4 linked regions of the Tamandua tetradactyla genome follow. The protein of the gene in region 4 binds, or shares a complex with, the protein of the main gene of each other region. Links are inferred from orthologs where the notes say so. Each region holds a gene or a part of one and is shown on either strand. Other genes may lie near its edges.

Region 1 (8,013 bases), on a different chromosome or scaffold from region 4:
TTAAACTGGTCTTTCTCGCTCCATTCCTACTTACCACCCACACTGCTGACATCCACCTTTCTGAAAAAAAATTCAGATCAAACCACAAAGCAATCTCACTTATAAACCTCCTATGGTTCCCTACCAGCTAAACAAGAAATCCAAATTAGCATTCAAGGACTTTCTCAATAGAGCCCCTGTAGAAAATGTAAACCCTCATCTCTCTTCTTCTGCCAATACATTTTGTAGTCTCAACTTTGCACTGTTCTTTGAACATTTCATGTTCTTTCACATTTTTGTGTCTTTACTCATAATATTCCTTCAGACTGAAATGCTTCCTCGTAGCCCCTTCTCTGCCTGGAAAACTTCTACTTATCAACTATCACTATCACCGTCTTTGTGATAGTCCTTCTTCAGGGCTCCCAAAGCATCTGTAAGTATTGCTGCAATAATACTCTCCTATTACACAGTTAATCATCTCTGCGTTTTGTCTTGCCTGCCAGCCTGTGTGTCCTCTAAGGGCAGTGATGATAACTTGATGTCTCTATATCCCACGGTGCTCTTCAATGCTCCACAATGCTTGGCACATACCAGGGGCTCATGAATGCTTTATAATAAATAAACCAGATAATAAATAGAGAAACCATAGACATAACCTATCAGTATTTTACTATCAGAAAGTCAGGTTGCCAGTTTTACTGAAAACTCACCTCATATTGGCACCAGTACGGAAAGCATATTTCTTATATTTGTCAAATATCAAAGCTGTTTCCACCCTGGGGGAAGACTACTATAATAAACTTGACCAACAAAATCTTATTCTATTATAATACGTTTAAAAAGAAAACTGGATTAAACTGAACAATTAAAAAAAAAAGTAAAACTGGCTTGTACTTTTGTACTTTAAACTTGCTAAGTGCTTTCATGCTTTTAATTTTAGTTTGTCTAGATAATATCCTAGGTCCCTTCCAGCTCCAAGACGCTATGAGTTACTCTGAATTTTCTGTTGCTTTTATTTTTTCCTGGAAATGTAACTACATGCTATATATATGTTACCACTATTAAAAAGGGGGATATAATTGAGGCCAAAATTTAGCCATAGCCACAGAGCTAGAAATGCCTTTAGAATCTAGTTTGTGTAAAAGAGCAGTTAAAAGTGAAGGTTTCAGAAGGAGACAATTTAGCCTGAACCCTATCTCTACCAATATACTAGTTGCATTGATATATGGCAGGTTATCTTATCTCCCTAAGTCCTAGTTTCCTCAACTTTAAAGGGATAGTTACACCTACCTCACAGAGTCTTACAAAAATAATGAGATAATACGTTTATGAGCTTGACACATAGTAAATAAATGGTAGGGAGATAATAACTTTACTATCATTATTATATATTATATAATTATATATCATTATTTAATACATTTCTTCATTTTACAAATGGTGAAGAAACTGAGGCCTCAGTAAAAGGAAATGACTTACGTGGTCACTCAGCTAGTAAGCAGCAGAATGGGTCTAGAACATAGGACTCTTCTTCCTTAGACTACAGATATTTGCACACTAATGTTCATAAGTGACATAATTCACAACTGCTAAAACATGGAAGCAACTCAAGTGTCCATCGATAGATGAATGGATAAACAAAATGTGGTATATACAACAGAATATTACTCAGCTGCAAAAACAAATGAAGTTCTGATACATGTGACAACTTGGAAGAACCGTGGAGACATCATGTTGAGTTAAACAGGCCAGAGACAAAAAGACAAATATTGTGTGACCTCACTGATATCAAATAATTAGAATAAGAAAACTCACAGAGTCAGAATCTAGAACATAGGTTACGAGGGGATGGGAATGTGGGGGCAGGGTAGGGAATAGGAAGTTAAGGCTTAAAATGTACAGAGTCTCTATTCAGGACGACAGAAAAGTTTTGGTAATAGATGGTGGTGATGGCAGCACAATATGGTGAACATAATTAACAGCAATGAGTTATACATTTGAATGTGATTAAAAGGGGGAAATTTTAGGTTGTATATATGTTACTAAAAGAAAAAAAAATCCATGGCACTGCACAACACAGTAAACCCTAATTTAAACTATGGACTATAGGTAATAGTACAATTATAAAAACGTGCTTTCATCATCTGTAACAGATGTAGCGCACCAATGCAAGGTGTTAATAATAGGGTGGCATAAGGGAATCCCGTATTTGATGCATGATTTTTCCTAAACTCACAGCTTCTCTAATAAAAAGAATATACATATATTTTAAAGTAACATTTAAGCAGAGACCCAAAGGCTGAATGAGAATTAGCCAGGTGAAAAAGAAAAGGGGAATGATAGCAACGATAATTTCTAACATGTATACAAGCATGCATAATTTCCAAAGGTGAAACTGAGAGAAAATTCAGTTTGGCAAAACGTGGTGAGGTTCTGTTGGCACTGTAGGCATGGCAGTTCTTCACTGTGGGGGTGCCCCAGGCAGTGCTGCACGCTTGACACCCCAGGCCCCTGCGCACTAAATGGTGACAACTCCCACTGCACACATTCCCCAATGCTCCCTGGTCATGTAAGGAGAACTGCCTCCAGGGGAGAACTGCTGGGTACATGATCTAGCGTGTGCACACACGAAAGCGTGTGAGACAGAGGGTGGCTAGGGGGACACGGAATGGGAGAAAAAAAAAATTCTCTGATATTTATTGTAAATATTAAATACTAAATGATTCACTGGTGGCTCAGATGCATCTATGCATGGCTTCTAGGCCCCAGCTGAGACCCAGGGGCTGTCCTGTACTTCCATACCAGCTTCCTTTGCTGAGGGCATTCCCTATACTTGAAATATTTTCTTTCCTATACTCCATGGATAGAAATCTTAGCCATATCCATTCAGTCATTCAAAAAACATCTGTTCAGCTTCTATGTGTTGCGCTGTGCCAGACTCTAGGAATATAAGGTTGAAATGGTTTCTACCCTTAAGGAGAGTATAGGCTGCTGGAAAGACAAAGATGGCAAACAACTGGTATTACATAGTAGAGGGGGCCACAGAGGAAGGAACTTCTAAGTCTTTCAAGGTCCATGGTGTTGGCTCCCTGAAAAATCTGCACTAGTGTTCCCCCCCTTGTCCCCCTCTGAATAAAAATTAACCTCCTTTTCTGATTTCCTGCTCTTTATTAAATACCTCTACTAGTTCACAACACAGTCTGCCACCTGCAGTCACTATTTGTGTCCCTGTCCACTTCACATTAGACTGTAAATTACACGATGGTAATGACCACATCTCTCAAGATGGTTACCACAGTGCTTTAAATATATGAAGCATAAAAACAAAGTTGGCTAAATCCAATACTTGTTTGTTAGATTGAACAGGATATGGGGAAAAATTCACCAACTTTAATGTGCTCAAAGTAAGCGCTAAAGGGGAGGGTCTGTGCAATATATTTTTACACTTGTCAAAAATACCCCATACATGACCTGAAATACTTGGGGAAGAGAGTACCTTACCAGAAAGAAGGCAGAGCACGGAAGGAGGGAAATACAGCAAGAAAAGATAAGCACCCAGGAACTTAGAACTAAAAATCAGCTCTCCATTAGCTACTGTAAATATTTAATCACTCTCAATTAAAAAAAAATCTATGTGGTTAATAGCCACAAAAGCTAGTAAGGCTTCAGAGTCAGACAGACCTGTTTGAATTCCAACGCTGACACTCATTAGCTATTTGACTCGGGTCAAACTGGTTAACCAATCTGTCTCAGTTTTGTCATCGGCAAAAAGAGGACAATAGTCGTATACTTGATAGGGACATGAGGATCAAATGAGCCAATGTACGTAAATCAACTAGCATACTGGCTGACATACAGTCGGCTGCTCCTCTCTATCGGGATAGTGGGAGAGGATCTGTCCCGACCAGACAGTGCAACACTGAGAGATGTCAGCAAACGAAAGGATATAGGTAAACAGAACACGAGCACAGCCTCAGTTAGGAAACATTCAGGGGAAGTTCATCTTGAGGAGCCAAAGCATTCTTCTGAGGAATAACTCTCCTAATTGGGAGACTCACCGTTACCCCGTATTTGAGTGCTAGTCCAGCCAGCGTGTCTCCGGGCTCCAGCTGATGCTCCAGGCGTCTTTCTCTCACTGGAGAACAGGCAGACTGCACCAGGCTACCATAAGAACGAGCCCGGCTTCCCTGAAGCAGTCCTGAACCCCCAAGAGGAACCTGTCTAGAGGGAGAAGCCATCTCCTCACCCTGCCGACAGCTGAGTCTGCGACTGAGAAGGCCCGGCTAAATCCAGGGTATTCCTTTCTTCTTCTTTCCTAAATCTTCCCCAACCCACCCCCTCGCCCTTAGCTCCCCTTTATTCCCCCAAACCTCCTCCCGCCTCTGTCACTCCACCCCCTTCCCCGCCCTCTCTCCTTTCAAGCCCCTTTTCCCACAGTCCTAGTTCTTGAATATTCAGTTTCCCGAGTCTCCCTTTAGCCACCCACCAACCTTCGACCTCCCACAAGTCCTCGCTCCACTGACCTCTGACTTTTGAACTCTAGGTACCCTCGCAACACCCTTTTCTCAGTTTGTTCTCTCAGCCGGGCAGCCCGGCCTCCCCCACTGCGGCTCCGCCCCGTCCAGGGGTTGGTCCGTTAGGGTCAGGAACAAATCAGGCCTACTCGGGGTGAGCTGTCGCCACAGACGAAGGGCTTAAGGATGGCGAGCGTTTGTAGTCCACTTCCATTCAGGGACTCTAAGAAGCCAGCTCAGCATCACATCGGTCACACTCTCAAATCCGGGCTCAAGCATCAGCTCCACATCTAGGATCTTGTGCCTCCAAAGGCCTCGAATCTTCCAAGATGCAAGGGCCTTGGTTCCAGCCCTTTGAGAAAAGACTTCATCTCCCGAAAGGCCCCGCGCGTCGGGGGCGCCGGGAGCCAACGCAGAGCCGCTTCCGCCCCCTTCGCCGTCGCGCAGTGCATACAGGGAACCGCGTCCCCGGAAGTCGGGCGGCCAACCGGAAGGAAACCAGGAGAGGGAAAGCAGACACCTTTTACCTGCTAAGATGGCTTGAAAGGTGCGGGTGATGCATTGCTAGCGAGTTTATGGCTGCTGGGACTCACGATAGCGATGTCTTTCAAGAGGGAAGGGGACGATTGGAGTCAACTCAATGTGCTCAAAGTAAGCGCTAAAGGGGAGGGTCTGGAGCAGCTTCAGCCGCCCTCTGAAGTTTTTGAAAGAGCTTTGCCGGGTTGCTCAGGCAGCAGCTCCGGGGACGGGAGGGAGCCAGGCGACTAGAGCTGGAGGTGCACCCCCTTTTCGCCCTTTGATCGCTGTTCTCTCTATGGTCATTATTACCTTTGATTCTTCATCACTATAATTTCCCTTCCATACTTTGTCCTGCTTATTTCTTTGACCCTGTTCGATTTCTTCCCTCGCACCCCCTGCAGAAACGAAGAGTCGGTGACCTCTTGGCCAGTTATATCCCGGAGGATGAGGCACTGATGCTGCGGGATGGACGGTGAGGGCAATGAGTGACGCAAGTCTGAGGTTTCTGCGGTTACAGGTCCAATAAACTGTTGTTGTTAAGGAGAAGACTGGGAGTTACTAGGACTCTGGTGCGGCGTGAGGGACCAGAAGAGATAGGGATATGGTTGGTAAAGATCGGGAAACCTGAGAGTGGCCTATGAAAAGGACTAGTGGGACAGGGTGGAACCTGTAGGAGGAACCCTCCTGATCCAGTTATCCTCTTCTCTCACCTCCCTAGCTTTGCTTGTGCCATCTGTCCCCACCGACCTGTACTGGACACCCTGGCTATGTTGACTGCCCACCGTGCAGGCAAGAAACATCTGTCTAGTAAGTTTGGGGGGAAGACAGGAAACAGAGAGTAGACCCTCGAAATCTCTGCAGGTCACTCTTGGTACATTGCTTGTAATTTCCTTTCCGTTGCTCCTCAGGCCTGCAGCTTTTCTATGGCAAAAAGCAACCAGGAAGGGGAAAGGAGCAGAATCCAAAACAGCAAAATGAATTGAGGAGGGAGGAGACCAAATCAGAGGTAATCAAGAGGTAATCCTAGGCAGGGCTCTGCCACACACGCCAGGCTGGAAAGGCTTTGGCTCCTCTCTAGCTCTGAAGGCTCTGATTCGGTCTCCTGTTTCCCTGCCAGGCTCCTTTGCTGGCCCAGACTCGATTTATCACCCAGAGTGCGCTGCACAGAGCCCCCCACTATAACAGTTGCTGCCGTCGGAAGTACAGGTCTGTGGGATGGGAAAGCCAGAGGAAAATATGGTGATTTGAGGATGAAGAATAGGGAAAGAGTAACTTTGCTATTAGTTCTTACATTTAGGTCCATAATCATTTTGAGTTACTTTTGGGGTGGGGGGTGGGGGGTGGTGCCTGGTCTGGGAATTGAAATGAGTTACTTTTTGTATATGGCTTGAAGTAAGGGTCCAGTTCATTCTTTTGCATGTGGGTTATTCAGTTGTCTCAGCATCATTTGTTGAAAAGACTGTTCTTTATCCACTGAGCATTACTGCATTAGGAAAAATTAAGAATTGAAGAATAACTATGAAAAGTTATTTCACTTCACATTAGTTAGATGGAGACAATGGATGGAAAAATATATATGGTATGGGAATCAGTCTTAAGGCAGGGAGGGACCTAGATAGATGGAAGGCAAAAGGAGATAGATAGCTCTAAAAATATTGTTTTCCAAATTGTATTCTGAGGAATTTGAGAGTTCTAGAGATATTAATTGGTATTTCAGGAAAAAGAAAACTTTGTGATTTTAAATAAAGTTTGGGAAATAGTACTTTGTACTCTTACTTGAGGAATAGTAATATCAGCATATTTTAAAGGCTCTACAAAGTCTTAAAATTAAAAATATATATATTTTAAAAATTTTGTTTACTATAGGCTTTTCCTAAATTCATTTGATTACAAATTCCTCATATGCAGAACACTTATTAATATCTTGAGAAGCAGTTTAGGAACCAGTTGTTTAGGCAACACTGCTTTTAGGGGGTGGGAGTCATAGAAGAGTTGGTCTTTTCCTTTATGGCATTTATATACTTCTATCCTTCTCTCCCTAGACCCGAAGCCCCTGGTCCTTCTGTCTCCTGTTCTCCTTTACCACCCCCAGAGGTTGAACTCCACAGTGGGATAATCAGCAGGCAGCCTGAGTCTGGGGCTGGCCCACAGGCCAAGGAGACAGCAACTGTCTTAGCCCCCCCACCCATGAGCCCCACAAGAAGACGAGCCCTGGATCGTTACCTCACCCTTCGAAGGTGAGTATGCAAAATCACTTTCCTCGGATTTTCTCTTTGCTCTCTGTCTCTCCTTTTTGCACACATACTTGATTGTTGTTTTCTTATCCCCATTAACGACTCAAACTTCCTTTTTCTCATTCTGACCAATTCTGTTTTCTCTGATGTTTTTCCAGCTCTGGATGGATCCCAGATGGACGAGGCCGATGGGTGAAAGATGAGAATGTTGAGTTTGACTCTGATGAGGAAGAACCCCCTGATCTCTCCTTGGACTAACACTGTCTTTCCCCATTTAATTCACAAATAAACTACAACAGGTGCTGGGAGCCTCACTTTTCTAGAGTCTGGTTCTTGTCCCATCTCAGGATTTCAGATCTGGCCACTCCTTCCCTGCAATGTACACAGCTCCCCATACTTCTCACCCTTCCCCCACTTTCTACCAAAGTCATGCCAAGCGTCAGCTGCATGCAACCCGGTGCCCTATTAATAAGTCTGTCAGAAAGGTCTTCGCCCTTCATGTTGTCTGTCTCTTTCCCTGTCTCCACTCAGAGTTTGTCCCCCTTCACATCACATGAGGTATAAGGTAGGCACTGGGGGGCTTGGCCACATCTGGAAACAGGGGTGAGGCTAGGTGCCTTGACAAAGTAGAAGAGACTAAAGGCATTGGCAGAGGGTTGTGGGGAACACCAAGGGAGGGAGCCCCCACCTCCTCCTAGTAACCTGAACCTCCCTGCCTGCTGATCCCCAGAGTATAAATAATACCCTGATGAACTGGCAGGAACCGT
Region 2 (7,886 bases), on a different chromosome or scaffold from region 4:
GGTGGCTCAGCAGGCAAGAATGCTCACCTGCCATGCCAGAGGACCCGGGTTCGATTCCCAGTGCCTGTCCATGTAAAAATAAAAAAAATAAAAAAAGACAGCCTACACAATGGGAGACAATATTTGGAAACGACATATCAGATAAAGGTCTAGTATCCAGAATTTATAAAGAGATTGTTCAACTCAACAACAAAAAGACAGCCAACCCAATTACAAAATGGGAAAAAGACTTGAACAGACACTTCTCAGAAGAGGAAATACAAATGGCCAAAAGGCACATGAAGAGATGCTCAATGTCCCTGGCCATTAGAGAAATGCAAATCAAAACCACAAAGAGATATTATCTCACACTCACCAGAATGGCCATTATCAACAAAACAGAAAATGACAAGTGCTGGATAGGATGTGGAGAAAGAGGCACACTTATCCACTGTTGGTGGGAATGTCAAATGGTGCAACCACTGTGGAAGGCAGCTTGGCGGTTCCTCAAAAAGCTGAATATAGAATTGCCATATGACCCAGCAATATCATTGCTAGGTATCTACTCAGAGGACATAAGGGCAAAGACACAAACAGACATTTGCACACCAATGTTTTATAGCAGTATTATTACAATTGCAAGGAGATGGAAACAGCCAAAATGTCCATCAACAGATGAGTGGCTAAACAAACTGTGGTATATACATACAATGGAATATTATGCAGCTTTAAGACAGAACAAACTTATGAAGTATGTGACAACATGGATGGACCTTGAGAACATTATGCTGAGTGAGACTAGCCAAAAACTAAAGGACAAATACTGTATGGTTTCATTGATATGAACTGACATTGGTGAATAAACTTGGAATATTTTGTTTGTAACAGAGACCATCAGGAGATAGAAATAGGGTGAGATATTGGGTAATTGGAGCTGAAGGGATACAGACTGTGCAACAGGAGTGGATACAAAAACTCAGAAATGGACAGCACAATACTACCTAACTGTAATATAATTATGTTAAAACACTGAATGAAGCTGCATGTGAGAATGATAGAGGGAGGAGGGCTGGGGACATAAATGAAATTGGAAAGAAAGATAGATGTTAAAGATTGAGATGGTATAATCTAGGAATGCCTAGAGTGTATGATAGTGAAATGTACAAGGTACAATTTTAAAAATGTTTTTGCATGAGGAAGAACAAAGGAATGTCATTATTGCAGGGTGCTGAAAATAGATGGTAATTAATATTTTTAAATGTCACCTTCTCTGTGAGACTAAAGCAAAAAATGTTTATTAGTTACAAAATTTATATTTTGACTAGTGCATTTCCTAATATAACTTATGTAGATAGTTTGATTGAACACCATAAGTACTTGGAATCTCAGGTTGGACATGAGATTTTGCTGGTTTGTCCAGAGTGATGCCCCGATGAATCCCAGAGTGATTCAATCAGTGAGTGGAAAAGTATTTGCAAAGCCCCCATCGGGGAGTGGTGAGAATGCGGAGAAATTCAACTTCCCCAAGTTGAATTCTTGATATTCTCACAAGCAGTGTGGACAACCAAAGATATAGGCAGAGCCCCCAGTCTTGGGGTTTGTTCATATGAAACTGAACCCTGCAAAGGATAGGTCAAGTCTACTTAAAATTTAGGCCTAAGAGTCACCCCCAAGAAAGCCTCTTTTGTTGCTCATATGTGGCCCCTCTCTCCAGCCAACACAATGAGCAGTCTCACCACTCTACCCGTCTCTATGTGGGACATGACTCCCAGGGGTGTGGACCTTCCTGGCAACGTGGGACAGAGATCTCGGAATGAATGGAGGGGATTCATTGGGATTGAGAAAAACCCTAGAATGAGCTGAGACTTAGCATCAAGGGATTGAGAAAACCTTATCGACCAAAAGGGGGAAGAGGGAAATGAGACAAAGTGTCAATGGCTGATAGATTCCAAACAGAGTCAAGAGGTTACCCTGGAGGTTATTCTTATGCATCAAGTAGATATCATCTTGTTATTCAAGATGTAATGGAGAGGCTGGAGGGAACTGCCTGAAAATGTAGAGCTGTGTTCCAGTAGCCATGTTTCTTGAGGATGATTGAATAATGATACAGCTGTCACAATGTGACTGTGTGATTGTGAAAACCTTGTGTCTGATGCTCCTTTTATCTACCTTGTCAACAAAGGAGTAGAACATATGGAATAAAAATAAATAAGGGGAACAAATGCTAAAATAAATTTAGTTTAAATGCTAGTGAACAATGAAAGCAAGGGGTAAGGGGTATGGTAGGTATAATCCTTTTTTTTCTTTCCTGTGTTCATTTTATTTCTTCTTCTATTGTCTTTTTATTTCTTTTTCTGAATTAATGCAAATGTTCTAAGAAATGATGAATATGCAACTAAGTGATGATATTGTGAATTACTGATTATGTATGTTGTTTTATTTTGTTTCTTTATTTTTTTAATTAATAAATAAATTTTAAAAAAATTTAAAAAAAGATTCTGGAAAAAAAAAGAAGTCACTGTATTCCAATAGAATTCTATTTATGGATGCAAAAATTTGAATTTCATATAACTTTCATGTATAATGAAATATTCTTTCGTTTTTTTTCAAAAAAAGTTTTTTTAATGTTAAAAAAAATTTTTAGCTCACAGGCTGTACAAAAACAGGGTATGGGCCAAATCTGGAAAACCATTTCAGTTCTGAGGGGAAAACTGCCTCAACTATTCCAAAACAGAGGGAGTGGACCTCAGAGCTAAGAGACCACAAAGCCAAACTTCTATACCTAAAGATGAAAGTGAAATCATACTGAGAGAGAATACCATTCAAAGAAAGTTGTTGAAAGAACCAGTAAAAGATGAATTCCAGGAAGGAAAAAAAAATTAAAATCAGAAAGGATTGGAATGCAAGATGCAGTTCTGAGGGAAAAAAACAGTAAACATGAAGGTATATCTAAATAGGCATTGATGGCAAAAAGAAAAGTAATAATAATGATAAATTTCTGCTTAAAAGTAAAGTTGCACTAAATCACCAGAGAATAAAACATGTGAGATGCAAGCACAGTAAATAGAAGTAAAGTATTCTAGGGTATTTGTATCTTTGAGAGGAGGCTAGAGATTACTAACTTTAAACTTTGTTAAACATTATTACAAATTAAGGGTACTCACTAAACAATCTTCTATTTAAATATTTAAATAGAAGTATTTAAAGATAATATAGATGGTACAAAGTTATTGGAAATATTTTGATCTTCATTACAAACGGTTGCAGTTTGGGAAATCAGCTTAAATTTTTTTTAAGAAATAAATATCTGCATAGATAAAAGCAGTAAACTTGATATTATTACATACGTAAATATTTTTTTTTCTGGCAAACACCAGAGACTTGAACTGTCATAATTCTCTTAACCATTTGTTCGCACATACTTCATTTTTTTATTTTTGAAGGCTGGTCAAGAATTATACAAGTTAATATTTATGGAGCACTTTACATCGATTTTCTCTTTAATCCCTGTGAAATAGATATTATTGTTCTGTCGTTAGTCGAGGACGTTGAGGCTAAGAGTAAGTAAATAAGGCACACTCACAGAGAATTTATTTACATGACCATAAAGCTGGGTGGTTTGCTACTTAGACACTAGGCTGGCTTTCATTATTTTCTTGTGATTAATATCTGGCTTCAAAATATCTTCCATTATTTTTAACTTCCGAGTCTTGGCATTAATCTTCTGGGCACAACTGTTTCGAAACGGAGGGAGTGGACCTCACACTTAAGAGACCACAAAGCCTAGAATGCAACGCGGCGCCAGGCCGCCCGGGAGCGCAGCAGCTCGCGGCAGGGCATGCTGGGAGTGGTAGTTTCCTAGCCGCCCTAACTTCTCCAACCTTCGATAGCGTCCGAATTGGACCTCGGTCCCTAATCTCTAAAACGCGGCGGTTCCCCTTGTCTTCGTATTCCCGGTGACTGACCTAGGAATGCTCCGCTGACACCTTGAACCCAGTCTCCACGTCCCTCCCGGCCAGGCTAGTACTGCCCACCTTACCTGCAGCTTCGGAGGACGCACAACCCGGTTACCACAGAAACGGCGCTGCCTCCGTCACGGCGCGTGTTAGAGGTTAAGGGTCATCAAATCGGTTCCGGCTTCAGTTCCGGTTCCGGAATTCCGCTTGTTGTCGGAAAGCTTTGGAGTGTATGCTCCAAATACTCGAAGTATACTCCGAATACTCGGAGCAGGTTTCTGCCGTTCAAGGGGTGGCGTGTGGCGCACTGCTGCCGACATGGCGGCCTCCACCGCGGCCGGGAAGCAGCGGATTCCTAAAGTGGCCAAAGTAGGCGATAGCGAGGGATCTTGTGGGAGAGGGCCTGTAAGAAGAGTTTCCCCCAGACCCAACCTCCGTGGTGCCCGGGCAGGGGCGAATGTTATCCCGGGACCAGGGCCACCCCGCCTGGTGCCGCGGGAGAAGAGACAGGGAGGGTCAGCCGGTGGTCTGGCGCGGGCTTTTGTCTCCCCAGAGCACGACCCGCGTCGGCATGGCTTTAGTTTTGGGAAGGTGTTTTTGCTGGACGAGGAGAGAGGTCATTCAGCACAGTTTTATTGTGTTGGCGCTTAGCGCCTGTGTCTTACGCTAAATGTAACGTTGCAACCTCCTAAAGCTACTGGAGCAAAGTGGAAGATGCCATGGGCGAGAATAAGGGGAGTTCTGCGAAGCGGGGAGTCTTCAGAAAAAAAAACTTTGCTGAGGAAGTGATATTTAAGCTGAGACTTGATGGCTGAGTAAGAGTTAAGCCAGCGGAGACTGGAAGGAATGAGAGTAGGTTACAAGGGTTGTGGAGCTGCGTAAATGGAATTAAATAGTAAGCTTAATATTATCTGATAGTTCAATCCATGGCTCATATTTACCGGGTGCTTAATATGTGTCAAACTCTGTGCTCATCCTTTCCAAACATCGTTATCTCCTGTCTGTCTCCAGTCCAGATGTGTCTCTTGAGGTTGGCGTTTTCATCTCTATTTAGATATGATTCCTAGAGATAATGCAAATAAAGCACAGTATCTGGGACACAGTGCTCATTACTTACATGTGGCATTAAATATTTCTTATAATTCAATTTCATAAATTTTATTCAGTACCTTCTATATAAAATAGACCTGAAGGAACCAATACCGAGCAGGACTTGATCTAAAGTAGTGCTTTCCGGTAGAAATATAGTGTGTTCAAACGAAATATATGTAGTTTTAAATTTTCTCATAGCCGCATTAAAAAGTTAAAAAAAACAGGCGAAATTAATTTAAAAAACATTTTTAACCTCGTATATCTAAAATTTTGTCATTTTGACATGTAGTCAATATAAAAAATTTAATGGGGCAGTTTGCATTCTTTTTCATACTAAATTTTCAAAATTATATGTAGTTTGCGTTTAAAGCTAATCTCATTTGAATTCATCATATTTGGGCCATAGCTACTGTGTTGGACAGCACAGCTCTAAGACCTCAAGAAGTTTATAATCTAACCATGAGAACATGTTCAATATTGTCTTTGACTTGAGGTGATTTGAAAACCAATCCCTATTGTTTGAAAATGGGTAGAGGCGATGGTAACACATTATTGTGAGAATAACAGTATTATATGGTGTCTGAATGTGGTAGGAAGAGGAAGTTTAGAGTCATGTATGTCACCAGAAGGAAAGTTGGAGCTTAAAACATGGGAATGTATAATACTGTGAATCTTGTGATGGACAATGACTAATTGTACAAATATAAAAAATGTTCTTAAATGAACTAGAACAATTGTACAACATTATTACAAGGAGTTAATTATAGTAGGGTGCACTGGGGAAAATGTACATATTGCTAACTAATGACTATAGTTAACAGTAATATCTTAATATTCTTTCATCAGCAGTAACAGATGTGCCACACTATGAGTCATTAATGGGATATGGGAGGATTTGGGTTTTCTTTTTTCTTTTTATTGCTTTTATGTAGTAATGAAAATGTTCTAGAGTTGATCAAGGTGACGTATGCACAACTTATGTGATGATATCGTGGGTCAGCGATTGTATACTTCGGATGGTTTGTATGGTGTGTGAATATGTTAATAAAACTGCGTTAAAGATAAAAAAATAAAATCCAGTCCCTGTCGTCCCCTCAGGGCATCAAGATAAACTGAGGAGTCCCATAAATAGAGGTTGTAATGCCAAATAAGATATGGTACACATCTTGATAAAGCAATACCTCTGGTGAGAATTTTACCCAGACAGCCCCAAAGTTTATTGTTATATTAAGCTAAAGCGCAAACTTGCTATTATCACTACCTGTCTTCTTAACTCTTTTACTTATGGCTTTGGTAATAGATAAAATATACAAGATAGTAAGCATAATATTTTTTCTTTACAGTCTCATAGAAAAATGAAACATGTCATACAGATAGAGCATTTTATGATAATACGCATGAAGTTCACATCCTAAAAAAATTTTGGTTCTTTAAAAAATCTTATGTGAAGAGCATCTACCCAAACTAGAAATGTCTTCTGTCTTAAAAGGTGAAAAACAAAGCCCCTGCTGAGGTACAGATAACTGCTGAACAACTCTTAAGAGAAGCTAAAGAAAGAGAACTTGAGCTACTTCCACCTCCACCGCAACAGAAGATCACAGATGAAGAAGAGTTAAATGATTATAAACTAAGGAAAAGGAAGGTGAGTCCATGTGATATTTTTGAGAGTCTGTCAGTATTGACAAGAATTTATAGGTTAGAGTTTGAAAAGGTGCACATTAGAGAGTCTCTAAGATAAGATTAGTGTTTCTAGCCATGTGAATAATATAACTTCTGGTTACCAGATAACTACCTTTTGCTGAACTCTAAACGATGCCATGAGTTGTCTGTTTTAAAGTGTAAAGACATTAACTCCACCAGAGTCGTTATTTTTGATGCCAAATTGAAGATTTGTGAAACAACTGACAACTGTAAGAAGGGTGTACTTAGCAAATGTATTATATATTTTTGTCTCACTTCCCTTCTGTTTTAAGAATGGGGATATGAAAAAAGTGGTGAAAAGACTTGAATGTGATTTGACTTTCCCACGCTGGAGTGTGTGAATATTTTAAATTTAAGATAGTGTTTTTAACAATATACACTAATCCTGTTGTATCTACTTTTAGTCTCATTGAGTTGTATGTGAAATTCTAAAAGGACTTAAAGATAATCATCAAAACTTTTCTTAGGACAAATGTAGAGTGTATTCAAGTGTCAGTTGTCATGGGTTACAGGAAAAAATAGTGACAATTCTGCTACCAATTCTTCATATTCCTTTTTTTCTTTTTATCTACATATAGGACTTTAAAGAAACCTGTGATTCTAATTTTCTTAAATGAAGTTCTTGTTTCTCTCAAGGATTCCAGGACATACTTTTTCTTAAATAAGAATAAAATGAATTTTTTGTTTTTTAATGCAAGGAATAATAAACAAAAAATGATGTCATTTTTAGTTGTTTTTTCTTTAATTTGACTCTTCTTGCCTTCTTCCAGACTTTTGAAGATAACATAAGAAAAAACAGGACTGTGATTAGTAACTGGATAAAATACGCACAATGGGAAGAGAGTCTAAAAGAGATTCAAAGGTAAAATTGCTGAGAGTATAATTTTGCATATAAAGATTAATGTTATATGTTAACAAATACAGGAAATTAGGAAAAGTAACTCTGGCAGTATTTTTCACTTCTGTTCCATGGAATCCTAGGGTTCCTTTAAGAGATCTCAGGAGCACTGTGAAAGGATTGTCCTAACATGACAGGAAGAAGCAGTACAGGCAAATACCACCACTGCCTCACACTGTACAACCAGAGAAGCTCAGTTTCATCTATTTCCTATATAGTGAGAGTGTTAAAATTAAAAAGTATTCCACTATGTGAAGATT
Region 3 (8,009 bases), on a different chromosome or scaffold from region 4:
TTGTCTCTGCTTTCCTACTTTCCCTCAAAACACATTTTTGTTCCTCAACTCTCCCCTTTACCCGTGCGACTCCATCTAAATAATCCAAAGACTCGCTCAGGCTCCCGTCTGTGTCCCAAACAGTGTCCTCATCTCCCACTTTGATCTGTCCCTTAGATCCTTTCCAATTCTCCAGCTTATTCACCTCCTCCCCTATGACGACTCCTAGTCAGTCCTCTTTCAACCAGTTCTAAGCTCCCCAAATTCCACCTAACTTCCCCAGCTCTGCACTCACTCGATGCTTGGCTCTCCCACAGCCCTCCCCTCACCCCTGCTCTTCCATCATCTCCTCCAGCTCGAGGCATCGCAGCTCCACGCGCCGCTTGCGCTCGTGGTCCAGGATGTCAGGATTAGGCCGCTTCACCAGGGCAGCCTCCAGGCGCCGCAGTTCCTCCTCTCCCTTGTAGTCAGGCCGCTCACCCCGGCGGCCCCGCACCAGGGACAGGTTGCGCTGGACGTAGCCGTTGGTGCCGCTGCCCCGGGGCGTCGGCAGCCCGATCCCGTTGTACATGGCCCCGTGCCCGGGGGGCACCACCGCTCCTGGGGGGGAGCGGGTAGACACGGGTCAGGCCCCTGGCCCCAAACTAACCACTTACCACCACCCAAGTCCCTGCTCTCCTCCTCCATCTCTATTTCAACATTCACCTCCACACTAAACCTCCTTCAGCTGTACACTGATTCATCATCCTCTGGTCTCCTAATATGCCCCTTCATCCTCCCCACACTTCTTCCTGTCCATCAAATCACAGCCCTACTTTTAAAGCCTTTCTCCCAGTACTCCTGCACAAAACTCTCAATTATTTCTTCTTAGATTTTGTTTTCCAACTGAGGCAAACAAGGATGCAATTTCTCTCAAACCTCTCCACACTGTCCCTTTAACCTCCTTTGGCCCCAATAAGCACAAATAGTGCCTTCTCCAACTACTGGACTTCCTAGCCAGTAACTGACTGAAGCCTCAAATGGGGCACAATGAACACCAGAGAGATCTGAGGCACCCAAAGGCCTGTGGTCCAAGCTCCAAAACTCTTCCAAGAGTCCAGGCCAACCCGTATGAACACAAAATGGACTAAAATGCCCCTAGATATCTAAACTAGTGGACTAATTGGTTAAAAGAAATCAAGTTTCCTGTGAAGCCTCACACCCAGACTAAAATCCAACATGTACCTCAGAAACTTACATAAACCTTGGCTAAACCCCTTATACTTCGTTCACCTCCTAGTAAACGGCTACTTTTCCTTGGTTCCAAACATTCACAGCTCCTAAAAACTATCTGAATATTTCATTCCTTCAATATTTTTCCCAAGAGGAATTCCCACGATCAGCATGCTGTTCCTTCAATGCTAACTCCTGTTAAATATTAGTTTTCAACTCAGAGCTCTACTTAAATTCATCAAATCAGCCTTCTCTGTTCTAATTCATCCCATACCTTTCACTATACTCCTTGCCTCATAAGCTTACTCAAAAGACCTTCCCTCTCTATACCTCACTTTCATTAGTCAACCTGTCCTTGGTTTTCCCTACCAAACCCCTGTATCTCACTTTCTAGTTTTCTCTCCTAGCCCTGTCTTCTCCCTGTCATGTTAATCCCATGCCTCCCACCACGTTCTATTCTTTCAACTTGTCCCACCACTAACAAGACCCTGAAGAACCATCGAGTCCCAGTTTTTCCAGTTAGATTTTGTGACTCCACACACTCCATTCCTTTCTCCCACTCATCCTCTCCAAGACAATTTCACAGAGCATGAGCGTATGAGAAAAAGACCCAAGGAACGGCTAAAGAAAAGAATACAGAAATAATCAGATAAAAGGAAAGGAGCATCATACAAACAGATATACTAGGGGAAAAAGAAAAAAAAAGCATGGAACGATTCTGAACGAACAGAATGGATAGCTCAGTTTCACAACAATTTACCCCATAAAACTAAGGCCGGTTCCCTGCCCAACCCCAGCAGAAAACCTAAGACAGAATTAAAAGCAGAAAAAGATAGGTATAACGCCTTTCAAAAAATAACTTTTTTCAAAGGTAAGGGAGTGGCAAATGAGGCCAAATCTAGAAAAGGCAAGTGGAAAGGCCCAAGAAAATGAAAAAACTTCCTTATAGCCCAAGAAATCAGCTATTACTGTACCCTCCCACTGTCACTTTCGTTTTTTTCCAATACCAATCCTCCCCACTCTAAAGCCCTCTTTGCCTCTCTACACCCCACCTAACTTTCCACTTCCCCCACACAATGCTTCTGACCATTCTTCAGCTTACTTAACCATTCACCCGCACTTCCACACCACCTCACACAAAAATCCTCCCACTCCCCAGGGAGAAAAAACTAGTAGCTGCCAAGCAAAGGGTATTTAGTCACAATGAATTGGAGAACTTTTAGGACACGATCAAATCAAACGAAACAAAAGAGAAAAAAACAAACAAAAACACCAGGGCAACCAAGGAGGTTCTCAAAACACTAAAAGAAGGGACCAAGCAGGAGAAGGAACTTCATAAAACAGGAATTTTAAACCGGGGTCCAAAGACTGTGGGCATGCACAGATGATCCGATGTAAAAATAGAAAGTTAAATCAAACTGCAAAGGAAGGCAAAAGAGACATTCTTCTATGGGAAAATCATCAGGATCCCAAATCAGGAGATAGACGGGAATATCGAAATTTAAAAATCAAAAAATGAAATAGCACCACAAGGAGGGAAGGTGTACAGGGACACATAGGTAACATGGCAAGACCGGGGCTGGGACGTTGTAATAGGTGAATAAACACTATGGAACTCAGAAAAGTAAACTGTGATCTCAGGAAGAGACCTAAACCCACACAACTAACACGGAAGACCCCAAAATAGATTTCTTCTGAATTTTTTTGTATCTAAAGGACATCTCAGAGACGCCATGTGGAAACCAGGGCTCAAAAAAATTGCGGCCCAAAGAGCGCTTGAAACAGGAAGCCAAGTCTCTAGGTCTGGAGTTTTATTTCCAACGAAGGGCTCCAACAGTCTCCTTAGGTTTAACGATTTGGGGGCAGATAATGAAAATATGAAAAAAAGAGCACACATAATACCTTACATACCTAGGCTGAATACGCAGGAATTTTTTTTAAAGGTCCCACCCTCAATCCTCTAATAAAACGACTTCAAGATGCCTAAATCTCGGGGGCATCTAGTACTAGGCATTCCCTGAACTAGCTGGGCCGCGCACGCCTATTTTCGGCCTTGAGGGATGGGGGAGGGGGCTGCGCGGCGCCCCGCAGTCTGGGAGGAGCCGGACCAACGAAGCCTCCGGGTTTGCCAACAGGCCCCCGAGAGGGACGGGGAAGCCCAGTGCCGGAGAGATCGCCGGAGAGAAGGCCCGGGAGAAGGCTCCCGGCCGCCCCCCACCCCACCCCACCCCCCAAAAAAGGCCGAAATGAACAGCGGCGGCCCCAGGACCGGGGGCGGCGAGAAGACGGGGCGCGCGCGAGCCCGAATGCGGCCGGCGGCGCGCGCCGTTGCCATGGGGGAAGGGAGAGAAGCCCTTGAGCTACGAGAACCGAGGGAGGGGGAGGGGAAGCAGGCAAGCGAGGGCGTCCGCGCGAGCTAGGAGCATCCAACGCGCGTGCGCGAAACGGCCTAGGCCGTTCTCCCCGCGCTTTGGCCTCGCGCCGGGGCCGCCGTGCGGCTGCCCCTCCCCCACCCGGTCCGCGCGCTCCCTCACCCTCTCACCCGCCGCCGCCGCCTCCTCCGCCCGCCGCCTCCGAGGGGGAGAGGTACTGCCGCTGTCTGAGCTCTCGAGTCCCTCGGGGCCTGGAGCCGCAGCCTACACCCGCCGATCCGCCCGCCTCAGCCGACGCCGACGCCTCTCTGCTTCCTCAGGGGCCGCAGCAGGCTCCGACTGCGCCACTCGCTCCCCGCCTGGGCCGCGCTGCACGTCAGCACGCCTGACTAAGCGCGTCAGCACGCAGCCGCGCGCGTCGCAGGGCCCGCCGGGAATCGTAGTATGCCCTGCACACTTTTGCGCAGGCGCCAAAGTCACACCGGGAAGTGTGGTTTCTTAAGGCCCGAAAGTGGTGACTCGTGGCTGCGAGTCACCGAGAACTGCGGGTCCCGTCGGCCAATACAAGGAAGGTGGGGGGAGCGGCCGGAGCGAGTAACGTATTCCGGAGGCTTTCTGCTGGGGAGAACGACCCACAGCTGAGCGCCACCTCGACCGTCGCTCTAGCGCTCCTCGGCCGCCCGCCTTCCGCCGCAGAGCATTCTGGAAGTTGTAGTTCTTGCATGGCGAAGAACCCGTATGTAGCGTCGGTCAGGGGTGCGGGCGCCATCTTGTCTCCCCATTTTGGGAGGCGATGGCTCAAGCCCCGCAACAAAGCTCCTGCCATGTGAGTGCGGGCTCGAGGGGCGCGCTGGCGTCCATGCGGCTCCCAGCCTTGGTTCCGGGGAAAGCCGTCCCGGACCCCGGACGATGGGCCCCCCTGGCCCAGACACAGGCCGAGCTATGCTGGTGGTGGTCGCAGGCTTCACTCGTGCAGACCGCGCGGAAAGGTGGCAGCTTGCCCCCGGAGATAGTTTTCGGTTATCCCCTAGTAAGGCGACCTGGCAGAGATGCAGTTTTCTCTTACTTAACTTGGAACGTGTTAGACGTAAATGTATACACACGGAGATGTGACAGGAAAAGAAAAAGTTATGATCACCCCTCCCCCTTAAAAAATTAAATCCATTTTTCTGATCCCAAGAAGCAGCCAGTCTCTTGGAGCAGAGATATAAGAAATTGGGCTTTTCAGACGGGCCAAAGTTTAAATCTGGCTCCACCGCCTGTGGCTATCCTGGTTCTCTCCAGTGTCCTCACCCCCTTCCTAGGGCCTACGGTCGCCATCCCACACGCAGGTTTTGAGAACATCCTTGCTCACAGGACACGCTCGTCGCCGGCCTCGGCACTGGGGATCTTGACTTTGCATGGGAGCTGTGGCTTCAGTTTGCAGGGAATTGCCCTGAATCCTACCTCTTTGAGCCGTGGCCTTTGGCCAGTGCGTCCCTGAGCTGGACGCTCCTCAGGGAAACTATGGCTATGGAAAGCTTTTGTCTTCCTGGGCCTGAGCTGTTTGGCGTTCCTGAGGTGGAGGCTGGAGGCTGGAGGGTGGGGGGGTTTTAAAAAGAAGTATTCCAACCCAACTCCTGAGGAGCCGGGGTGGGCACATTCTCAACCCGAAAGAGCACACCGGGCACGGGGTTTAGACATGACTTCTTAGCAGAAGATTCTTCTTGACGGCGGTGTCCTGCGGGGAGGTTGAGGGGTGCAAAGGATAGCTTGTGAGGGTTTAGGACAGAGACATTCCGTGGGGTGTAGGAGCAGAGCTTCAGCAGGTGTCCTGGCACAGGGGTGTGGAGATGTGTTATTACCGTGCTGGGGAAGAGGAGTTTCAGTGCCCTCACAAGGTAAGCGGCGTGTGATGCCATCTGTACCGTCTTTCCTCCTTGAGGGGGGCGTCATGTAGGCAGCTAGTGCCTAACTCCCCTTCGGAACGGAGGTGGGGCCCAGGCCCTGGGTCTCCCCAACCACCTTCCCAGTGAAACCCTTCCCTGACACCCAGCGTCCCGTGAGAGTCTTCCCTCTATTTATTGAATGTTTGGGGCTGAGTTCTGTGCTTGAATCAGCTCGTTTAATGCTCAGGACAACCCTATGCGGTGGGTGTTGCTCGCCGTTGTTGCTTCCTGTAGAAACGGAGCTCGAAGGATATTAAGGAATGATGAGAAAGAAAGAAAGGAAGAAGGAGAGAAAGAAAGACACAGACGGGCTCAGGGGGTCTGAAGCTTGAGTTTACTTCAGACAGACTTCAGACAATTTTATTTTATTTTTTATTAATGAAGTTTTTTTATTAATTACAAAAATTAACTAACAACATTTAGAAATCATTCCATTCTACATATGCAATCAGTAATTCTTAATATCATCACATAGATGTATGATCATCATTTCTTAGTACATTTGCATCGATTTAGGAAAAGAACTAGCAAAACAACAGAAAAAGATATAGAATGATAATATAGAGAAAAAATAAAAATAATAATAAAAATAAAAAATATATAAAAAAGGAAAAAAACAAAAAACACAAACAAACAACAAAAAAAAAACTATAGCTCAGATGCAGCTTCATTCAGTGTTTTAACATAATTACATTACAATTAGGTAGTATTGTGCTGTCCATTTTTGAGTTTTTGTATTTAGTCCTGTTGCACAGTCTGTATCCCTTCCGCTCCAATTACCCATTATCTTACCCTGTTTCTAACTCCTGCTGGTCTCTGTTACCAATGACATATTCCAAGTTTATTCTCGAATGTCGGTTCACATCAGTGGGACCATACAGTATTTGTCCTTTAGTTTTTGGCTAGACTCACTCAGCATAATGTTCTCTAGGTCCATCCATGTTATTACATGCTTCATAAGTTTATTCTGTCTTAAAGCTGCATAATATTCCATCATATGTATATACCACAGTTTGTTTAGCCACTCTTCTGTTGATGGAGATTTTGGCTGTTTCCATCTCTTTGCAATTGTAAATAACGCTGCTACAAACATTGGTGTGCAAATGTCCATTTGTGTCTTTGCCCTTAAGTTCTTTGAGTAGATACCTAGCAATGGTATTGCTGGGTCGTATGTCAATTCTATATTCAGCTTTTTGAGGAACCGCCAAACTGCTTTCCACAGTGGTTGCACCATTTGACATTCCCACCAACAGTGGATAAATGCAATTTTATTCTTAACCAGATCCTGGTTATATACCACAGGATGACAATAGGCATGCATGCATTTCCCCAGGGAACAAAGTTCTTATCTTTCAGTGTTCTTCCTTCGTACTTAAAATAACCATTTGGGGTAAACAAACATTCTCTTCCTCCTAAACTGTCTTACATAAATCAGATAACATAAAGCAGTTTACTGCCACCACCACACTAATGCCATCTACTCCCAAGTAGTTCCACAAGTCTTATATTAATCCTGTCTCCTATACCCCGTTTCCCCTGGGGAGAACAGTTAATATCCACAATCCAGTAATCAAAATTATGAAAGTACATTGAAACAGTGCTATTATCAAATCTCCAGACCTTATGGAGATGTCAACAGTTCTGGTAACAAAAAGCCCTTTATAGCAAAAGGAAGTCCAGGGTGGTGCCTGGATGGAATTCAGTTAGATTCCCTAGACCAGTACAACCTTGAGTAATTCTGACTCCTCGTTTTAATTTATCATGTTGACGTTGTTGGAGGGTGCAGGCCGTTTATCTGGTAGCCTGTCCCTCCGTTTGGGTTGGTCTGAGGTTTCATCATGATCCAGGTTATGCATTTGTGGCAGGAATCCCACACAAGCGATGTTGGTTCTTCACAGCACATGATGTCAGGAGGCTGGTGCTGCCCATTGCTGCCCCTTACTGCCAACGCTGATTTTGCTCATTAGGTTGACAGAGGGACAACCAGGTTTCTAGCTGTAAAATCGCTAGTTTAGGGGGTACAAGGGTAGTTCAGTGGTAACATCCCCACCTGCCATACCGGAGACCCGGGTTCGATTCCCTGCCCATGCACTTCCCAAAAATGACGAACAAACAAAAACCAAGCAAAAAACCAAAAATCAAAAAAATGGTGCTGCAATAAGGGGATACCTACATGGAAAAAGAGTAAAATGTGACCCCCACCATACAGTGTACAAAGAAAAAAAAATTTACTAATTTACCCTTTGTAGTTAAAAGCAGTGTTCAGAGGAGAATTTATTTAGAAACCAAGATCTGCCTACTCTGTGCGCTTAACTGTTACTAGGGTGTCATTGCTTCTGGGCCGTCTTTGAGGACAGAGCTTGGGAAATGGATAAACTTTATCCGTTAGTTCATGCTGTCCAGTACTGCAGGATCCCTTTTGTCCTTTCCCCTCTCCATGTTAACTCCTTTTTCCAACTGTGAGAGTCCTTGCTTTGCTTTTCCAGGATATGCAAAGTTATTTGCTTAATCCTAAAAT
Region 4 (8,145 bases):
TAACTGTATGCATTTTTATAAGTGACTAAGGATTAAGGCGCAACAAAATAAATATAACTTAATAACCCTTATAACTCTTTAGCTTACCTGCATGTTCATATAGCCATCAACAGATACCAGGTAGCCCTTGTACTCCATTCCCCATTTGAGTTTCACCATCACAGGTTTTCCTGTTAATCCGTTCAGGAAAGGTTTGGGATTGAGGGGTAAACTCTGCACAAGGAACAACAACAAAAGGACTCAACTGATTATTTTCCTTTAACTTGGCTTCTCCACCCACTCTACTCTCTCAAATCACCAACCAATATTTTATAGCACCCAAATCAAGCAAACTCTTGACTCCCTCTCACTTTACTATATATTTCATTTGTTGAAAGGCATCATGGAACTTTAAGTAGCCCATCTTCAACCTATCAAAACTTTAAAACTTATCCTTTATTCATTATTCACTTAAACAGTGATTGCCTACTTTACATCACTCATTGTTCCAGGTTCTAAAGAAACAAAGCTAAAGGCACTAAAAAAATGCAAATGACATCGTCCCCTCCCCAAGAAGCTTGGGGGGCATGAGGGTAGAGGTAACATAAAGGATGAGAGATGTTCGAAGGGAAAAAGGGCTTTTTTGGGGAACATAGGCAGGCTCTGGGAATCAAACACGGGGTCTCTGGCATGGTAGGCGAGAATTCTGCCACTGAGCCACTGCTGCACCGCCCAAAAAAGGGATTTTTTAAAGCACAGATTACCAATAGAAAAGCAGGGAAAGGTGAAGTAACAAGGCAAGCGCAGAGACGTACAAATACTTCAGTACTGTTAGAGCCCCAAATATGAAGCTACAGAAGGAAGCACAAGATAGAACATGTTTGACTAACTCACACGTTAATTCTTGAGGTCAGGGCTAGGTGGGTTTTTTGACTTGCTATCACTAATGCCTAGCAATGCCTGCCTCCGTATGGGCAATCACTTAACCTCTGTTTATGAAGCCAACCAGTAGTATCCTAGGTGAGTTCAGACTTTTCTCTTTCCCTTATCTGTTCACCCAAAAGCACAAAGAAAAGAACCATGAAACTTGGCTACTAATCGCCCCTCTAAGAATAGCATATTCAAAGTGATCTCAAAGGACATGGAGACAATGGAAATAGGCACCTAATGGGTCTCCAGTTTTTACTCATCTCTTCCCAATTTATTATCACTACTGCAACTATTATTTTGTTGTAGGAAATGTGAATATTTATTGAGACTTCAAAAAATACTATATATTTTTTATCTTTTTGTGGAAACGAATGCCCTTTGATCTCACAAGAATTTCCAAGATGAAATCATTGTCCTCATTTTCATTGAGAAGAATGATTGGTTAAGAAAAGTTATGAACATCTTTAATCTAGTGTTAGATGATCAATCTGTAGAAAATAGGCTTGTCAGATAAACATTATGATCAGGTCAACCATGTCTTCCCTTTCCACTTTTCCTTTTTTGTGATCTTTGTGTCTGTCTCTAGTTCATCTCTTCCTCAATTTTGAGGCAAGATTTACCGTGTTGCTATTTGTCTGATCAATTCTTTTTGAGAATAAAGTCCACATCTTCCCACTTTCTTTTTTTTTTTTTTGCAAACACTTACTTCACCCCCACCCCCTTCCATCTCCTGGTAACCTCTAATCTGCTTTCCACCTCTAGCAATTCGCTATTTCTAGTCAACTTTTATGATTGATAAAATACAATACCTGAACATAAGTGTCTTGCTTATTTCACCCAGCATGTTTTCAAAGTTCTTCCATGTGGCAGCATCTCACAACTACATTCTTTTTTACAACCAAATAACATTAAATAATGTGTATACACCATATTTTGTTTATTCATTCATTTGTTGTTGGATACGTGGGTTGTTTCTACTTTTTGATGTTGCGGATAATGCTGCTATAAAAGCTGGTGTCCAAGTATCTGTTTGTGACCCTATTTTCATTTTCTCTGCTTATGTACCCAGAAGTAGAATTGCCAGGTCATATGATAATTCTATATTGAACCACTGTCTTTTAAAGTATATATTCAGTCACATCTTATCTCTGCTTAAAATGCTTACATGGCTCCAATTACACTTGGAATAAAATTCAAACCCCCTTACATGGCCTAAAAGGGCCTACCCAATTCCTGCTCCTCCTGTCCTATCTCATAATCACTTTTCTTGCATGCAGTTGTGGCTTTTTGTCAATTCGTGTAACTGGTCAAGCTTTCTTTACGACTTTAGGGCCTCTGTTTATGTTTCTTGTAGTTCAGTCTTTCTATTTTTTAGGTCTCTGGTCAAATCCCACCTCCCACAGAGGCCATCCCTGACCATCCATCTCCACACCCAGGCACATCACCCCGCACAGCATCCTGTTTAGTTCCTTATTACCACTTATCATTACTTGCAACTATATATTTACTCCTATTACTGAGTAACGTCTGTTTTCCACAAACAACCATGAGTTCACCTAGGACAGGGTAAACATGAATATTTTTCACACGATATTCCTAACGCCCTTGAGCAGTATCTAGTAAGTAATATGCGCTTAATAAATATCTGCTGAATGGATAAATGAATGCTCTCAAGTCTGGGCTTTGTGTTCCAGAGGGCTGCAGGGCTGAGTATCCTAACACCATGGAATAAAAGTGGGTTTGGGGGTTTTTGAACCCAGCGATCCAAGACCCTGGTTCATCTTTACCCAGACCCGGTGGTCCCAGCCAGCGGGAAATCTCAGATCCGGATGCAAACGAAGAAGGGAAGGGGCCCTACTGGGGAGGGGGCGAGGAGGGCTCCGGAAGAAGCGCGCGCCTCAGACCCCTCCAGATCAGAGAGAAAGAGACTGGCTGCAGCGCGCGCGGCCCCTCACGCGAATGAATGGGGAAGGCGTGAAACCGCCACCAGGCCGGGCGAGGCTGCTGCCCTCCCTCTCGCCCTCTCCGGTGAGCCTGGCCGCTCTCTCCTTCTTACCATCGTGACTACCAATGAATGCTGCAGGCCGCTCGCCTCCGACCCCGCTGTCGTCCGTCCCCGGTGTCTGGAGCGGCTGTCGTAGGCCGGGGGTCTCTGAACCTGAGGAGAAATGGCCGCCAAACAGCAGCGTGACCTTTCACCTCCACCACAGCCCTCCTGACGCCTGTGATTGGACGCAAAGAGATGCATGCTGATTGGAGGAGGCGGCTGGTCACGTCTCCTGGCAACCCACGTCGTGCGCGAGTGCTTTCGGGGTCGCGGACCCGGCTACAGCCTGAGGCCCTGCGCTCGGGACACGGGTCCCTGGGGGCCGGCAGAGCCCGCGGGGGGCCCTTGGACACGCCGTTTGCTCACTCACCCAGGGGGCCTTTGGAAGAACCTTGTCTAGACCTCCGGGTTGGGAGACGCTGTGCACAATGCCAAACGGACGTGATTTCTGTGCTAGGGATTCCCCTTGCCCTGTACTTCCATGGGAACGAGCTCGGGCATCTCGAGTGTCTTCTTTACGTTCCCGCGGATTTTATGACCGGCGGGAGAGATGGCGGCGCCTCTGCCACGGTCTCCTTGTACCTGCGGGTCCTTTTTATTCTGTAGTGCTCATTCTGACCCCGCAGAAAGTCAGGTCCGGAACTGACTTCCGATGAGGTGAAGCCGAGTCTGGAAACGGGGTGGCGGTCCCTGCCATTCCTCTTCTTTTCCGCTGCCCGCGGGGACCGGTAGACCCGTTCCGTGCGTGCGCGGTCGAGGCCCGAGCGGGTGCCGGGGCCGCCCTGCCCGCCTCCCGGGCCCTCGATCCTCGCTCCTCTCTACCCTGAAGGAACCCCAGTCAGTTCTTGAGAACTTGCTGCGGCCCTTGGGGGAGGAATTTGGGCCGAGGATGGAGTGTTAGGAAGGAAGACGGTTGGGGCCTCGGGACCTCAGGACGGTGAGAGGCGCCGTTGGTTCCTACAACTTGTGCTGGGACCCAGCCGGGTCCCGAGGGCCGGTGAGTACAGGTTCGTGGAAAGGCGCTTGGAGCGGCGCTGTCGGTTTACTTTTGTTTTAGAATAGTTTATGCCAAGCAATTTTTGTAATTACTCCAGATGTCTATGGACTTCCCCTTATCTTGACAATTACTCAGTAAATACCTAGCCTTCGTGCAGACTTTGCGTTCCGATGTCTGCCAGGCCCTCGACCGCCGTTAGCGAGGAAATCTTCCCTCGGGGTCTGTGATTTGGCAGTTACCAGCCCCATTTTAGAGATGAGATGAGCAAACGGGCTCGGCAGCTATATTTTTCAGAAGTCTGACTTTTTAAAAAAAGCCATTTTCTCAGTGAAGTAAAAGAAAAAATTTCACCCCAAACGTTAATCTTTGTAAAGCTAGTTGTGTTTAAAGTTGTTTTTTTCTTCTCACGTTGAATATTATGACTATAAATGCCAGACGTATGTTTTGTGGGAATTTTGGAAGATACAAAAAGTTCTAAAAATTAAACCAAAAATCACTGGTAATTCCATCAATCAAAGTCAACAAAGTTTACTTTGTTACTTTGTACAGTTATTGTAACATATGTACGTTTAAAAACAGATATTTTGTAACTTTTCACTTTATAGTGTGCAAATTCTTATATAAATAAAAATTCTTCTAAAGTGTGGTTTAATGCCTCCATTCTACTATTTTATGCATATATGATGATTAATTAATCATTCTTTTGTCATTCCCAGTTCCCCCCATAAATGTGTGTTGAACATATTTGTGTGTGACTCTTTGAGGGTATTTCTGATTGCTTGAAATAAATCTCCGATCCTTCCTGGGTTAAAGGACATTATTATTTTAAAGACTTCTAGAAGTATATTTTGCCATGTTGGCAAAGATTCAACAGAATATCTATCAGAATAATTGGTTTAATCTGTGGGAAATAAAAAGGTTTACATTTTTTGAAGAAAGGATAGAATACATTTTGGGTACACTTTGAGGAAACTGTCCCGAGTTATTAATTAGGCTGAGCAAGTTGGTAAGACCTGAGTGCTACCACACCTCAGCACATGATCCAAAAATTCCAATGTAAACAAACATTTAGAGTAATTTAGTAAATGACCAAGAAATTTTTATTGAGAATCTTCTATGAAGTAGGCACTCAGAGGGTAAAATAGTGAGTAAATTGGACATGTAATCTCTGCCCTTGTGGAACTTAAAAACCTCTTTGAAAGGAAGGGAGCTAACGCACATTGACTGCCTGCCATGTTATGCTGGTGTATTTCATGTTATTTATTTTAAGTCCTTACCATATGTCAAGATAGGTATCATAGTCCCCATTTCGGAGCAGAGGAGGCAGTCACAGAGGTTATGCATTTTTGTCCAAGGCCATGTGGAAGGTGAAATGGATCCAAAGCCTAGGAGACAATGCCTACCCTCTCAGTGTTTTTGAATAGAGTATAAATAAATATATAGAATCCCCAAAAGGATGAAGGGGAATAGAGTTCAGAAAGTTCTCTTTGAAATCCATGATCTCTGCCTTTCATTTTCTCTCTTTTATTCCCATAATCTCAACATTTTGTTTTTCTATGATTATAGTCAGAAACAGTTATAGTTATGGCTAAAGTAAGTTTAAGGGAGGAAAATCTAAGTTTCAAGTACCTTCTATTTAGTTGATGCTTTACACATTTTGTGTTATACCTGAGAGATGTGGTATTTTGTCTCGTAAAGAAATTAAGGCTCAAAAATAATTAACTTCCCGGAGCCTGCCCATGCCAATATATATATATTTATATTTATGTTTATATTTATATTTATATATATTAACTTCCTTAACTCATAAAGCCACTACACCTAAATTAGAATCAAAGTCTTTTTGGTGGTTCAAAGCACTTCCTGTTCCTATCATACAGAGGGAACTGTACCTCAAAGGAAACCTGGCACTGTGGTGGGAGCCAAGACCACCTGAGTTCAAATCCTCATTCTGCCATGTGCTAGTTAATTTATCTTGCCTCAGTTTCTGCATCAATAAAGAGAGGACAACAAGGACAGTACTTCTCTTACAGCGTTGTTTTTAGGAACTAGCAGCCGAAAACCTGAGAGACAAAGTAAGGCTGAGAAAGCCTGAGTTGGGCTATAAGATTTGTTCATATATATAACAAGGTTATATAAAAAAGGACAATATTTGAGGTATCAGAAGATGTCACTGAAAACATTGATATAATATACTTAACAGCACTTTTTATATGATGGTTTATGTGATTAGCAGCATCATGGTTCCCAGAGCTGGTCTGAGACCAGATTTGAATCTGGGTTTGAATCCTGGCTCCAACATCTACTAACTGTGAGAACATGGGAAGAGAACTCAACCTCGATAAGCTTTTTCCACCATTAAATAAGAATACTTCCTCCTTTCTCCCAGAGTGGTAGTGAGCATTAAGAGTTAATACAAGACTCCCTCTCTTTCCTTCCTGAACAATTCAGTCCTAAGGTCCTCAAGAGAAGCTGAGCAAAGAAGGCATTTATGCTGTGGAATGGGGGTTGCTGCATGGGCCCAAATTGGGTGAGGAAGGTGTCCACACAGATGGCATCCCGGAGGCTGGGTGCAGAGCCTGACCAGGAAGAGAGGTTTGAAAGAGCCAAAGTGTTCATCAATAAACAACTCAGTAGATGGGCTGTCACACATCTACAAAATAGAATATTTGCAGTTGTACTAAAGAAAGAAGTATCCATAAATAGATATGGAAAGCTCTCCGAGATAAATTACTAAGAAAAGTATGACACAATAATGTAATGTGTTACCTTGTGTTGAAAAGGGAAATAACAGTCTATTTGTATGTGCATAAATTAACTGGAGGATTCCTAAATACTAAGAACATTGGCTACCCTAATTGGAGTATAATGGGAATTGGGTTGAAAGCAGATAAGGATGAGGCTTTTTACTGTATGTGCTGTTTTATATGTTCTATTTTTGGAACCCTTGAGTGAATTGCCTATTAAAAATTAAACTGAGGATGCAGGGAGGATGGCAGAATAGGGTAGTCTGAGCTCGCCTCTGCTCTGTGGAACAACTAGAGAAGTGACAGGAGGACAGCAGTTCCAGGGTATGAGTACCAAAGAGGGACTTCTACATTATTTAGGGAGGACCTGGATGAAAAAACAGAAATTATGACTGAGAAGATGGGGTGAGTTAACTCAGTTGTGATGCAACTGGGGCAGGCTGCAGCATGCAGGCTGGAGTGGAGCCGAATGCTCCTGCACTCCTGCCCACCTCCATTTCAGCTTGAGAGGTCTTCCCTCTTGGCCCTGCAGCTGGGGCTCCCGTGGGGAACTACAAAGCCAGCAGACTTGGTTTACTGCAGAGGCCTTGCTGCCAGTGCACAGGGCCTGCCCACCAACCCCTGAGGAAAGTCGCTGTGGGAGCCTGGTTTGGGTGGAGGCTGGGGGGCCCTTCCCTTGGGAGGAGGGGGGAACACAGAGCAGAGCCAATCTGACAGCTAGTGAGAGAGACTCCCTGGGTCCTGCTACATCTATCCTTTTGTCTTGGAGGCCTGGAGTGCTCACAGCATGCATGGGTGGAGAGGTGGGGACAATGGGGCAAGCCGTGCAGCACCCCCAGGCACTCCTGGCTGGCTGAGGACAGGGGCAGTTGTAATACTCAGTCCTCAGTCTTTGCACGCAGGAGCCCGGCAACCACCAGACCCATGGTGCCCACAAGTGGATTCCCCACCGTGGTGCACACTGCCCACCCCCGGCCCTGGGGATGGTGGCTCTCACTGCACATCTTGACCTGCGGCCCTGGCTGGCTTTACACTGGGTTGGGATCCAGCAGGGGTAAGTCAGGCCTGATGGAGAGAGGTGGCCCAAGAGCACCATCTGCTGGAAAGACCAGGGAGGTGTAGCCTGGCAAGCCACCATTCTGCCTAGCCTCTAAAAGATCTCCAGTTAGAGTTGCATCTCCTGCATGAGGTCCCGGCCTTGGTTTGGCAGAGAACTGCTGACAAACCAAGTGCAAAAGGAGACCTTCAACACAAACCCAAACAACTCCAAAATCTTAGATGACTTTGAAATCAATTTTCAAACTAATTTTTTCAAGATAATCAAATGTCATGAAGTCAACAAAAAAATCACGAAGCACATGAAGATGCAAGAAATTGTGACCCAGCCAAATGACCAATTTAAAACACCAGAGGAGACACAGAATTTGGAACAACTAATCAAAGAT

What was found.
Region 1: SNRPF (region 4) and SCNM1 share a complex: the UniProt entries of both Homo sapiens proteins name them as parts of the minor spliceosome. The link is inferred for Tamandua tetradactyla from reciprocal best matches to the Homo sapiens genes SNRPF and SCNM1.
Region 2: SNRPF (region 4) and CRNKL1 share a complex: the UniProt entries of both Homo sapiens proteins name them as parts of the minor spliceosome. The link is inferred for Tamandua tetradactyla from reciprocal best matches to the Homo sapiens genes SNRPF and CRNKL1.
Region 3: SNRPF (region 4) and SRRM2 share a complex: the UniProt entries of both Homo sapiens proteins name them as parts of the minor spliceosome. The link is inferred for Tamandua tetradactyla from reciprocal best matches to the Homo sapiens genes SNRPF and SRRM2.

Annotation. Positions count from the first base shown.
Region 1 is NC_135330.1:4,391,072-4,399,084, reverse strand, and holds SCNM1 (sodium channel modifier 1), read left to right. Parts: upstream 1-4,547; 5' UTR 4,548-5,093; coding exon 5,094-5,144; intron 5,145-5,413; coding exon 5,414-5,484; intron 5,485-5,730; coding exon 5,731-5,819; intron 5,820-5,920; coding exon 5,921-6,018; intron 6,019-6,129; coding exon 6,130-6,218; intron 6,219-7,054; coding exon 7,055-7,249; intron 7,250-7,404; coding exon 7,405-7,504; 3' UTR 7,505-7,554; downstream 7,555-8,013. Other genes in the region: LYSMD1 (lysM and putative peptidoglycan-binding domain-containing protein 1), read right to left, coding at 4,038-4,217. UniProt on the Homo sapiens protein: As a component of the minor spliceosome, involved in the splicing of U12-type introns in pre-mRNAs. Plays a role in the regulation of primary cilia length and Hedgehog signaling.
Region 2 is NC_135327.1:40,345,838-40,353,723, forward strand, and holds the start of CRNKL1 (crooked neck-like protein 1), read left to right. Parts: upstream 1-4,142; 5' UTR 4,143-4,253; coding exon 4,254-4,304; intron 4,305-6,516; coding exon 6,517-6,669; intron 6,670-7,498; coding exon 7,499-7,590; intron 7,591-7,886. UniProt on the Homo sapiens protein: Involved in pre-mRNA splicing process. As a component of the minor spliceosome, involved in the splicing of U12-type introns in pre-mRNAs.
Region 3 is NC_135349.1:54,601,785-54,609,793, reverse strand, and holds the start of SRRM2 (serine/arginine repetitive matrix protein 2), read right to left. Parts: upstream 3,939-8,009; 5' UTR 3,734-3,938; intron 3,385-3,733; exon of another isoform or gene 3,103-3,384; intron 580-3,102; 5' UTR 551-579; coding exon 309-550; intron 1-308. UniProt on the Homo sapiens protein: Required for pre-mRNA splicing as component of the spliceosome. As a component of the minor spliceosome, involved in the splicing of U12-type introns in pre-mRNAs.
Region 4 is NC_135333.1:165,942,510-165,950,654, reverse strand, and holds the start of SNRPF (small nuclear ribonucleoprotein F), read right to left. Parts: upstream 3,520-8,145; 5' UTR 3,327-3,519; intron 3,132-3,326; 5' UTR 2,969-3,131; coding exon 2,966-2,968; intron 214-2,965; coding exon 88-213; intron 1-87. UniProt on the Homo sapiens protein: Plays a role in pre-mRNA splicing as a core component of the spliceosomal U1, U2, U4 and U5 small nuclear ribonucleoproteins (snRNPs), the building blocks of the spliceosome.